Linked DNA regions of Ovis aries. The protein of the gene in region 1 purifies or fractionates together with the protein of each later gene. This does not show direct contact. Links are inferred from orthologs where the notes say so. Each region holds a gene or a part of one and is shown on either strand. Other genes may lie near its edges.

Region 1 (5,568 bases):
ACACGATGGTGAGGGGGCTCATACTCACGCAATCTGAAGGGCTCGGGTGCCCAGCACGCGGGCTCGCTCATACTTGGTCATATATGGTGTGGTGATTCGTTTCTGGTTGGCCTGCGGTCGCTCTCCAGAAGGGAGAATCTCAACGTTCTCCTGGCCCTCCTGGACACAAAGGCAGAAAAGAGGGGAAAATCTCAGGCTGTATCACTGGGGGTGAGGGGCAGGACAACGACAACAGTGACTGTGAGCGCCTCCACGCTGCATGCCAGTGACCACACAACTGCCTTATTAACACCTCACCTAATCCTCACAAAAACCTTATCAAGTGGGGATTACAATGCTCATTTTAAAGGGCTGGACAGTTAGCCAACGTGGCCAAAGTCTCAGAGCTAGTGAAAGAGGAATCGTGATCAGGAGTCCAAAGCCAGCCGCCTCATCCAGCAGAGAGAGTTGGTCCCATACAAAGAAGTCCTTGAGCACAGACAACCTCACCCAAACCAAGAAGAGGAAGAAGCACCCCATCTTTACACATGTATATATTTAACAACCACTTATTAAGCATCTGTCATGTGCCAGACATGATAAAGGTGCTGAGACGGAGTCTCTGCTCGCCAAGAATTCACAGTCCAGCGAAAAGGCAAGAGTAAACAAAACATCAAGTGCTATGAAAGCGTGGCAGTGTGCCACAAACTACACAAGAAAGCGAGGGGCATCTACCTCATCCTGGGGGTTAGGAATACAGTCCAGAGATGAGACTTGGGCTAGTCTCCAAGGATGAGTACGAGCTGCCAAGCTAACAAGGAAAGAAAGAAAGGGCATTCCAGACAGGCTGAACTGCATATGTGCAAAGACACACGAGGGAAGAGAGTGTACTCAGCCTGGATGCCTAATCATGGGGTATGATAAGCCCAAAAGGTGCAAACAGGGTAGACAGGAGAATAAATTCTGTAATACAAAATTAAGCCAACAAATATTTACTGAGTGCTTACTCTTTGTCAGATAGCATTCTAAGTGCTTGACACAGAGCAGTAAGACAGATGAAAGTTCTTTCTCCCATACAGCTTTACATTATAATACAGTGAAAGTGAAAGTCACTCAGTCCTGTACGACTCCTTGTGACCCCACAGACTATACAGTTCGTGGAATTCTCCAGGCCAGAATACTGGAGTGGGCAGCCATTCCGTTCTCCAGGGGATCTTCCCAACCCAGGGATCAAACCCAGGCAGGTCTCCTGCATTGCAGGTGGATTCTTTACCAGCTGAGCCACCAGGGAAGCCCAAGAACACTGGAGTGGGTAGCCTATCCCTTCTCCAGTGGATCTTCCAACCCAGGAATACAGTGAGATGAACAATAATAAAATAAGTAGTAAAATGTGCAGTATAAAAACAGAGAGAAAAGACAGGGAGTGTCCGAGTGGTGATGTTGGAGGAAGGAGCAAATGCAGTGATTTGAAACAGAATGGTCAGGGAAGGCCTCATTGAGGTGACATGTAACACAGACCTGAAGGAGGCTGAGGAGCAGGTTGTGTGCATAACTAAGGGAAAAGGAAGAGGGAACAGCACGGTCAAAGGTCCTGAGCTGGAACTTCCCTGGCATGACAGCGATACCAAGAAGAGATAAGACCACAGAGGGAGCAGGCGGTCGGATCACGGAGGACCTTGTGCATGTTCTTGGCTTTTATTCGGAATGAGATGAGAAGTGACCAGACGCAGGTTCTGAGCAGAGGAGAGACAGAGTGACTGAAGATTTAAAAGGATCACTCTTGGATACTCTGTTAAGAACGTTCTGTAGAGGCTAAGGGCTGAAGCAGAGAGAACACTGAGCAAGACCAATAGTAACCAATCATGTGGGTAGGAGAAAAAGTCGACTCTGGCAGCAGAAAGGCAAACAGCAGACTCAAGGCAGGAAAACCGGTAACAAGTTTCTGCAGTAATGCGGATGAAAACCAATAAAGATCTAAACCAGGCTGAGGCACTAGGAATAGAGAAACGGGAACAGGACTGAACTACATGGAGGAGGCAGAATCAAGAGGAGAGAGATGGAAAGGCATCAGAAGAACCGAGAAGAAGGCTTCTGACTCAGTGAACAGATAACCTCAGAGTGTTAGGCAGACAGGAAAACCCACACAAAAGAGGGCCTTCACATTACCAATCTAAAAAAAAATCAAAGGATTCCTCTCTCCAGAAGACATAAAGCACTTCTTCCTCCACCAGTCACACAGCACAGAAGACCCTATTTTATCTATGACGCCAGTAACTCATCCACCAAGCTGCTCAAGCCAGAGACATGGGAGTCATTCCTGCCATCTCCCACTTTCTCAGCCCCACATCCAATCCACCAAAATCTCTCATCTGTTTTCTCATCACAAACACTACCAGCACCCAAGTGCAAGCTACAGATGTCACCTGGATTGCACTCTAATTGGGCTCTCTTTGACTCTTGGTTCACCCAACTCATTCCTCACTGGATCATGCCACTCCCCAGATCCCCAAAACTTATCAGCAGCTTCCCGCTACCCCTAGGCTACAAAATCTTGGCTGATCTTGGCCCTCACCTCTCCAGCCTTATCCCAGGTCACTCTCCCCCTTGCTCTTTATTCAGCCCCACCCTGCTGAGCTCCTGGTACATAATAAACATTCACCACATGTCTGCACAATGAATGAAGGGGCTATTTCAACTGAGTAAACTAACTGCCCCAGAAGTCATGCTCTGTGGTCCAAGAGACAAAAGCCTTTGGGCCAACCCTGTAGGACTCCTCCACTACCCAGGGCTAGATCTCCCCTTTCTAAGTGGCAGTACCCTGACCACAAACGGGAGGCAGAGGCATGCAGTCGGCCATCACTGGCCGGGCTATCTGGCAGCTTGGGCTGCAGAGAGGGGAGCCCAAGGCTCAGTACTGACCTCCTCGGCATTCTCCAAGTCATCGAGCCCTTCATCCTCCTCCACGTCATCAAAGTCGTCTCCATCAAAACTGAACAAGTGTAAGAAGCCCGTTAGTTAGAGCATCACTTATTAGAATCAAAGTGGGCAGAAATCTGAGTCTCATGTGATACGTAGGAGGCTCTCAATAAATATCCACCTAACCAGTGAATCATTCAATAAACCAGTCATCTGACGTCCTCATCTTAACTATGGGCCTCTTCTAGAAAGAGACCCCAGCTGAATCAACATTTGGTACAGACAGACATAGAGCCCGACTCAGTGGAAGTTTGCTGAAAGATACTTTTTCACTGATCCTCTCTGGACCCTCGAGTCGGAGCCTTTTCCGCGCCCAGCCTCTGACCGGGTCTATGCTCCTAGTTCCCAGCCTTTCCCTTCTCCGGCTCTGCGGACGCCCTCACCACCCCCAGTCCTAAACCTCTGGCTCAACTTCCTTCGACCCTGGCTCCTGCTTCATCCGCCCCTTCTGAGTCTTCGGAAAAGTCGTTTCGCTCCCTCACTCACTTGTCCTCGTTGTCTGACATGACGCCCGCGCAGCAGCCACCGGGTTCCGAGACCCAAACCCGCGCGGAGACCGGCGAACAGCGTACCTCCGCCTCGCGCGATGCCAAGAGTACTCGGCGCCTGCGCTGTGACCTAGCGGTAATCACTTCCGGGAGGCAGGCGGGGCGAGAAATAGGCACATGCGCGGAGCAGTTTGTCTGCGTTACCATGGTAGCCGGAGCCGCGCTTGCTGCAAGCTCTAGTGGCTGAGATCTCAAAAGTATTTCTGGGAGGGACCAGGCGCGGCTGCTGCTTCAGAGCCTTGGTTACGATCTCCGGAGCCCAGCCGCCGCTCTCTGTGAGGAGAGAGGCCACCCAGCCGGGGTCTTACTTTAGGGTGAGGTTTCCCGTTTGGGCGTATCACACAACGGGCACGGCTACCCTCACTCCCCTTTCCTCCCGAGGGGGCTTCCCTGCCACAGGCGCCAGGTCAGGATGAGGTCTCTGTTCGCGTGTATATATCTGCCAGTGGATCTGTTCGAGGTGGGAGGATCGGGCACTGTCGCGATGTTGACAGGCGGCATCACGATCTCTTGAGACCCTACACCCGCTCCCAAACTTTGGGTGGTGTTGAGGGTGTGAGAAGAGATTGGATCTGGGAGACCGGGAATGTTTCATTGGGTTTTTCCCTCTTCAGAGCCCTCCCATGGCTTCCCAGGAGAGGGTGGAGACGGTGACCAAAGGAACAGGGTTCTGGCGCTGTCCCAAGCCGACCACTTACACCCCAGGGACCTGCGAGCTGCTCAGAGGTCAGTGCATTAAAGGGCACAAGAAGAGCGGTGGTTACAGTTACCCTCTGTTTCTCAGTTCTCCCCTACATGACTTATGGCTTAGTAATTGTATTTTCAGTTTACAGATAAGAAGCCTGGAGTTCAGAAAGGTTCAGGCGTCCAGCTCCTACAACTTGGAAGTGACCCAAAGTCAAAGAACTAAGAATTTCAGAGTGGTTAACTCCCATGAACCCCTTAGATCACACTTTCAGTTTCCCCAGGGAAGACTTATTTGCTCTCCACCCATCATCACCACAGTGGAACCAACTGTTATGCATCTGCACACTGATGCTACTGCTACCGCTAAGTTGCGTCAGTCGTGTCCAACTCTGTGCAACCCCATAGACAGCAGCCCAACAGGCTCCTCTGTCCCTGGGATTCTCCAGGCAAGAACACTAGAGTGGGTTGCCATTTCCTTCTCCAGTGCATGAAAGTGGAAAGTGAAAGTGAAGTCGCTCAGTCGTGTCCAACTTTTAGGGACCCCATGGGCAGCAGCAGCCCAACAGGCTCCTCTGCCCATGGGATTCTCCAGGCAAGAGTACTGGAGTGGGTTGCCATTGCCTTCTCCTAATAGTCTGCACACTACCAAATACCTTTTCCTTCACTGGGCTTAGTGCAACCTGTACTCAGATACCTAGTGTGTTCCACTGAATTAACATTGAATTAACATTCAGTTCATGAACGCCATCAGGGCATGATGCCTGTTTTGGCTCACATTTGTAGCTCCAGCCCCTGGCACGTGCTCAATGAATACTTGTTCATTCACTGTTTCATTCACTCAACAAAAATAGTTTTAAAGCCCACTGTGTGCTTTAGACATTATCCCGGGTGCTGAAAACACAGCGGTAAAGAAAAGAAATAAGCAAAAATTATTGTTCCCTTGGAGCTAATATTCTAGGAGGAAAGTAACAAATAATAAATAAGGTATATAGAACTTAGATGGTGATGAGTGGTATAGGGGGAAAAATGTAGAAAAGGAAGGGAATTCCCATGTGGTCCAGTGGTTAGGGCTCAGTATTTTCAGTGCTGGGAGGCCCAGGTTCAATCCCTGTTCAAGGAACTCAAATCCCACAAGCCAAGTACGCAGGCACCCAGAATGGGAGCAGGAGGCGATACAGTATTAAGTTTCAGTGGGGTGAGATGAGGCGTCTGCTTGCAGCCCAGGAAGCCTCACCAAGGTGCTTTGTTTTGCAGTGATGATGAAGGAATCCAAACTGACTAACTTCCAACAGCGCCACATCATGGACACCATGAAACGTAAGAGGCTGACCACAGAGGCTTCCCGGGGAGAGGAATTCTGGGTCACATTTTAATGCTC
Region 2 (4,897 bases), on another chromosome or scaffold:
AACTAACATACAATTGTGCTTATTTCACATCCTTGCAAGGTAATGCTCAAAATCCTTAAAGCTAGGCTTCAACAGTACGTGAACTGATAATTTCCAGATGTAAAAGTTGGGTTTAGAAAAGGCAGAGAAACAGATCAAATTGCCAACATTCACTGGATCATAGAAAAGGCAAGAGAATTCCAGAAAAACATCTACTTCTGCTGCATTGACTACAATAAATCCTTTGACTGTGTGGATCACAACAAACTGTAGAAAATTCTTTGAGAGATGGGAATACCAGACCACCTCACCTGCCTCCTGAGAAACATGTGTATGCAGGTCAAGAAGCAATAGTTGGAACCAAACATGGAACCAATGGACTGGCTCAAAACTGGGAAAGGAGTATGTTCAGGCTGTGTACTGTCACTCTGCTTAATTAACATATGCAGAGCACATCATGCAAAATGCCGGGCTGGATGAATCACAAGTTGGAATCAAGATTGCTGGGAGAAATGTCAATAATCTCAGATATGCAGATGATACCACCCTAATGGCAGAAAGCAAAGAGGAACTAAAGAGCCACTTGATGAGGGTGAGGGAGGAGAGTGAAAAAGCTGGTTTAAAACTCAACATTAAAAAAACTAAGATAATGGCATCCGGTCCCATCACTTCATGGCAGACAGATAGGAGAAAAAATGGCAACAGTGGCAGATTTTATTTTCTTGGGTTCTAAAATCACTGAAGATGGCGACTGTAGCTATGAAATTCAGATGCTTGCTCCTTGGAAGAAAAGCTATGACAAACCTAGACAGTATTATTAAAAAGCAGAGACACCACACTGCCAACAAAGGTCCATACATAGTCAAAGCTATGGTTTTTCCAGTAGTCATGTATGGGTGTGAGAGTTGGACCACAAAGAAAGCCGAGTGTCATAGAATTGATGTGTCCAAATTCTGGTGCTGGAGAAGACTCCTAGAGTCCCCTGGACTGCAAGGAGATGAACCAGTCAATCCTAAAGGAAATCAACCCTGAGTATTCACTGGAAGGACTGATGCTAAAGCTCTAATACTTTGTCCACCTGAAGTGAAGGGCCGATTCATTATGAGAGACCCTGACACTATGAAAGATGGAAGCAAAGCGAAAAGAGGAGGGCAGAGGATGAGTTGGTTAGACAGTATCATCGACTCAATGGACATGAGTTTGAGCAAACTCCAGGAAATAGTGAAGGATAGGGAAGCCTGCAGTACTGTAGTACATGGGGTCGCAAAGCCTCCAACATGACTGACTTAGCCACTGTACAAAACAACAACATACTATAGAAGTAATAATTTATCAATACATACACACTCCCTTAGGAATTCTTCTGAAATATTCTCCTCTAAAAGCTGTTCCACAATATGTAGAGCTTTTCTCTCAAACTCAATCTTCTTTCTGACAGCTGCTTCTAGTTCTGCTTTCCTAAAATTTTAAAAAAAAAATGGTATTTAAGTTATTCTACTTAAGTTTTAGCATAGCCATTTTCTACATTTTAAAATTAAACACTAACAATGTGCTATTTTGCTATTAATGTTAAATGTATATTTTTAAATGCTGTTTCTTTTGATACAGTATTTTTCAAAAGGGAAACAAACTACTTTTTATTGACGTCTGTCATAACAGGATTATTTGATTTCCAGGGCTCAGAGAACAAGGAAGAATTTAGAGTATCCTACAAAAAAGAAAATAGGAGGAAATCTTTTTTGCCAGATAAAACTATCATTATTGAAATGATAATTTATCATTCTCTATCATTTCTCTGAGCTTTTACCTAAAAATGGAGGCTTTTCCCTTGAAATCATTAGAAATCAGAAAGGAATGGAGAGGAAAAATATTATTTTGGTTGTTCTCTTAAATACAAATTTCTTTGTGCTAATTCTCAAATGTTAACTAAATGGCCAGCCTGGTTTAACAGGACAGAGTCATACTTGCAAAGAAGTATTTACTTACTTTGTTGTAAAGTCTTACTAAATAACTATACCGCTATGACTATATGGTTCTTTCTGGAAAACAACAATCTAGGAAGCACCAGTGAAAATCTGTCAGCCTTTGCAGGCCCCCTGCATCATATAAAAGCAGAGGCTATCTGATCAAAAAATGGTCCTAGGACAGTGGTCCTCAATTCCCGCCTCAGTGTAGATCATCTGATGAGACCTTTTTTAAAAAAGATACCATGCTCAGGTCCCACTGCAGGCTAACTAAATAAGAATCTTTGAGGATGGGCTCTAATTAATGGCGTTTTCTTAAAAGTGCTCCAGATAAACCTAGTGTGTAACAGAGTTGAGAACCAGTACCATGGAACAAAGATACCAAGTATCTTGGTGACTTGTTAGCTATACTAGTTTCTACTCCCCCACCAGAACAACCCTGCTGCCATCATGGACCTTGACTGCTCTCATATGTGGACCTAGAATGTACTCAGTCCTGAATATTCATTCCAAGGATTGATGATAAAGCTCCAATACTTCGGCCACATGATGCGAAGAATGGACTCATTGGAAAAGACCTTGATGCTAGGAAAGATTGAAGGCAGGAAGAGAAGGGGATCAGAGGATGAGATGGTTGGATGGCATCACCGACTCAATGGACATGGGTTTGAGCAAGCTCTGGGAGTTGGTGATGAACAGGGAAGCCTAGCGTGCTGCAGTCCATGGGGTCTAAAAGAGTCGGACATGATTCAGTGACTGAACTGAACTGAGAATGTACTCACCTTTTCTCCCTACCTTTATTGACTGCGAAGACTTTAGCATCTAATTTCTTGCCTGGAGCAATATGTTTTACAAAAAAACAATTTGGAGAACTGACACAAGACTGCCAGCTAGGGACAAATAAGGACATTAAAACAAGAATTCGCTAAACCCAGGGTAGGCAAGGCGTTAGCAGGGAAGCTGGAAGAAAACTCAAGGAGTCATAGTAAGTGAAGACCCATTTATTCTCTCCCGACTGCAACAACAGCTGTAGCAGCAGATACACTGTATTCTCTCCTCTCACGACTAACCCAGTGGACACAGCCCTAACGCAGCCAAAAAGCTCTTCAGGTGGAGCCAATATATGTTTACAGAACAAAAGTGGCCCATGGCCAAGTGGGTACATCGTGACGCGTGTGCGCGGTGCTCTAAGTTATCTCAGCTGTTACATGACCATGTATTTACAAAACCTGGGGTCAGAGCGAGATGTCCTGGGGCAAGAGAGCCTGACCACCACCACTTTGGTTAATCTGCTCTTTCCCTACAAAGAAGAAACTTGTAATTAACACCTGTTCTCCCACCATTTCATCAAGACCAATCTTACATCAAAAATGTAAAAAGGACATGGACACAGATTAAATATTCTTTGTACTGAAAAAAAGTTTTCTCTGCAGTACCAAACTTCTTTGTACTGAAAATATTTAGCTTTATGAAAAGCCTTATTTTTCTCATTTCACTGCTTACCAATTAAAGCTATGTCATTTACTAAGATCAGAATAGAATGTGCATTAGGAGTTCCTGATTTAAGGAGTTAATTACCTCAACCTGCAGGAACAGCAAACTCCTCAGAACTGATGAATATCTACAGCTGTTTCCCATGGACAGCCCTGTCTCAGAGCACCCTTCTATCCCACATGACACATGGTGTGGTCTACAGCAGTGGTACTCAAACTTCTGGGCATCAGTGGTCCTTAATAATCTTAGTTTTTGCTTATGCAGATTGTATCTGTTGATAGTTACCATACTGGGATTAAAGGTGAGAAAAATTTCAAGCACTCATGAACTCATTTAATAGTAATATATACATTACACGTTAACATATTTTTAAATGAAAACTTCAGTGTGAATTACGGAATTGTTTTATATTTTCACAAAGCTCATTATAATTTCTGGCTTAATACTATTCAGCTGGATTGAACGTAGAAGTATTTTTCAGTAGGAATAAATTCATGAAGGATCACTTCTCTCAACACCTAGTTGGTTACCCTCAAGGATCATCCTGGGTGATCTGCCTGAAATACGTTTCAGCTTATCTATATTCTTCACATTGTAGTACTTAGAATAAAAGATAATCTCCTCAGGCGTGTAATTAGATCCATGTTGAAGAGACCTGCAAATTACTATTATCATTATTAACTAAACTTTACTGTTGTATTATTTTCTAAAGCCAAGTATAGTCATTCTGCTCCACAGGAAAACAGATCTCAAATTCATCTGATTTCTCCACTCCCAAATGATCTTTATCCCTAACACCTTAACACTTTTGAAACTTAAATTCTGTTACTTTAAATTCAAGTTTTATTTGCACTTAGAAAATCTGAATTTCTCACCCTAGCCTACTGGTACTGTTTGAATGCAACCCTGCCTCTAACTTATTCCTACACTCCTTTCTTCCTTTGCTCAGAATGCTTCACATGACCTTGGATATCTCTTTCTTTTTTTCTTGTCACATATATTGGTGCTTCTAGCTGGAAGTCTCTCCTCACTACTCTGTCTGGTAAGTGCCTACCTAGCCTTCCAGTCAGTCTAATTATTACTTTCTCAGAGAAGCTTTTCCCTGAACACATACCACCCTTCCTGCCAACCTCTTTTGTTTTTAGTTCCATCACAGCCTTTTCATTTGCAATTATGTATTTATTTGTGATAATTTAATTGATATTTCTCTGTTCTACTAGACAGGAACTGTGTCTATACTGTTCAAAATCATATCCTCAGGGCCTCTGAAACTGAAAAACTCCCAAAAGAGAACACAGGCAGAACAGCCTTTGACATAAATCTTAGCAATTTTTTAAAATGTCTTCCAAGATGAAGGGAAAGAGCAAATATAAACAAACAGGAAGGACCTAATTATACTTAAAAACTTTTGCAAACAAAAGGAAACCATCAACAAAATGAAAAGACAATCTACTGATGGG

Evidence for each region.
Region 2: the proteins of POLR2F (region 1) and RPAP2 purify together in Homo sapiens (affinity purification with mass spectrometry; 4 studies listed by BioGRID and IntAct, with this or other methods). This does not show direct contact. The link is inferred for Ovis aries from reciprocal best matches to the Homo sapiens genes POLR2F and RPAP2.

Annotation. Positions count from the first base shown.
Region 1 is NC_056056.1:215,575,106-215,580,673, reverse strand, and holds the start of POLR2F (DNA-directed RNA polymerases I, II, and III subunit RPABC2), read right to left. Parts: upstream 3,557-5,568; 5' UTR 3,462-3,556; coding exon 3,442-3,461; intron 2,969-3,441; coding exon 2,899-2,968; intron 160-2,898; coding exon 29-159; intron 1-28. Other genes in the region: C3H22orf23 (UPF0193 protein EVG1), read left to right, coding at 4,127-4,229, 5,445-5,507. UniProt on the Homo sapiens protein: DNA-dependent RNA polymerase catalyzes the transcription of DNA into RNA using the four ribonucleoside triphosphates as substrates.
Region 2 is NC_056054.1:69,554,082-69,558,978, reverse strand, and holds part of RPAP2 (putative RNA polymerase II subunit B1 CTD phosphatase RPAP2), read right to left. Parts: intron 1,438-4,897; coding exon 1,323-1,437; intron 1-1,322.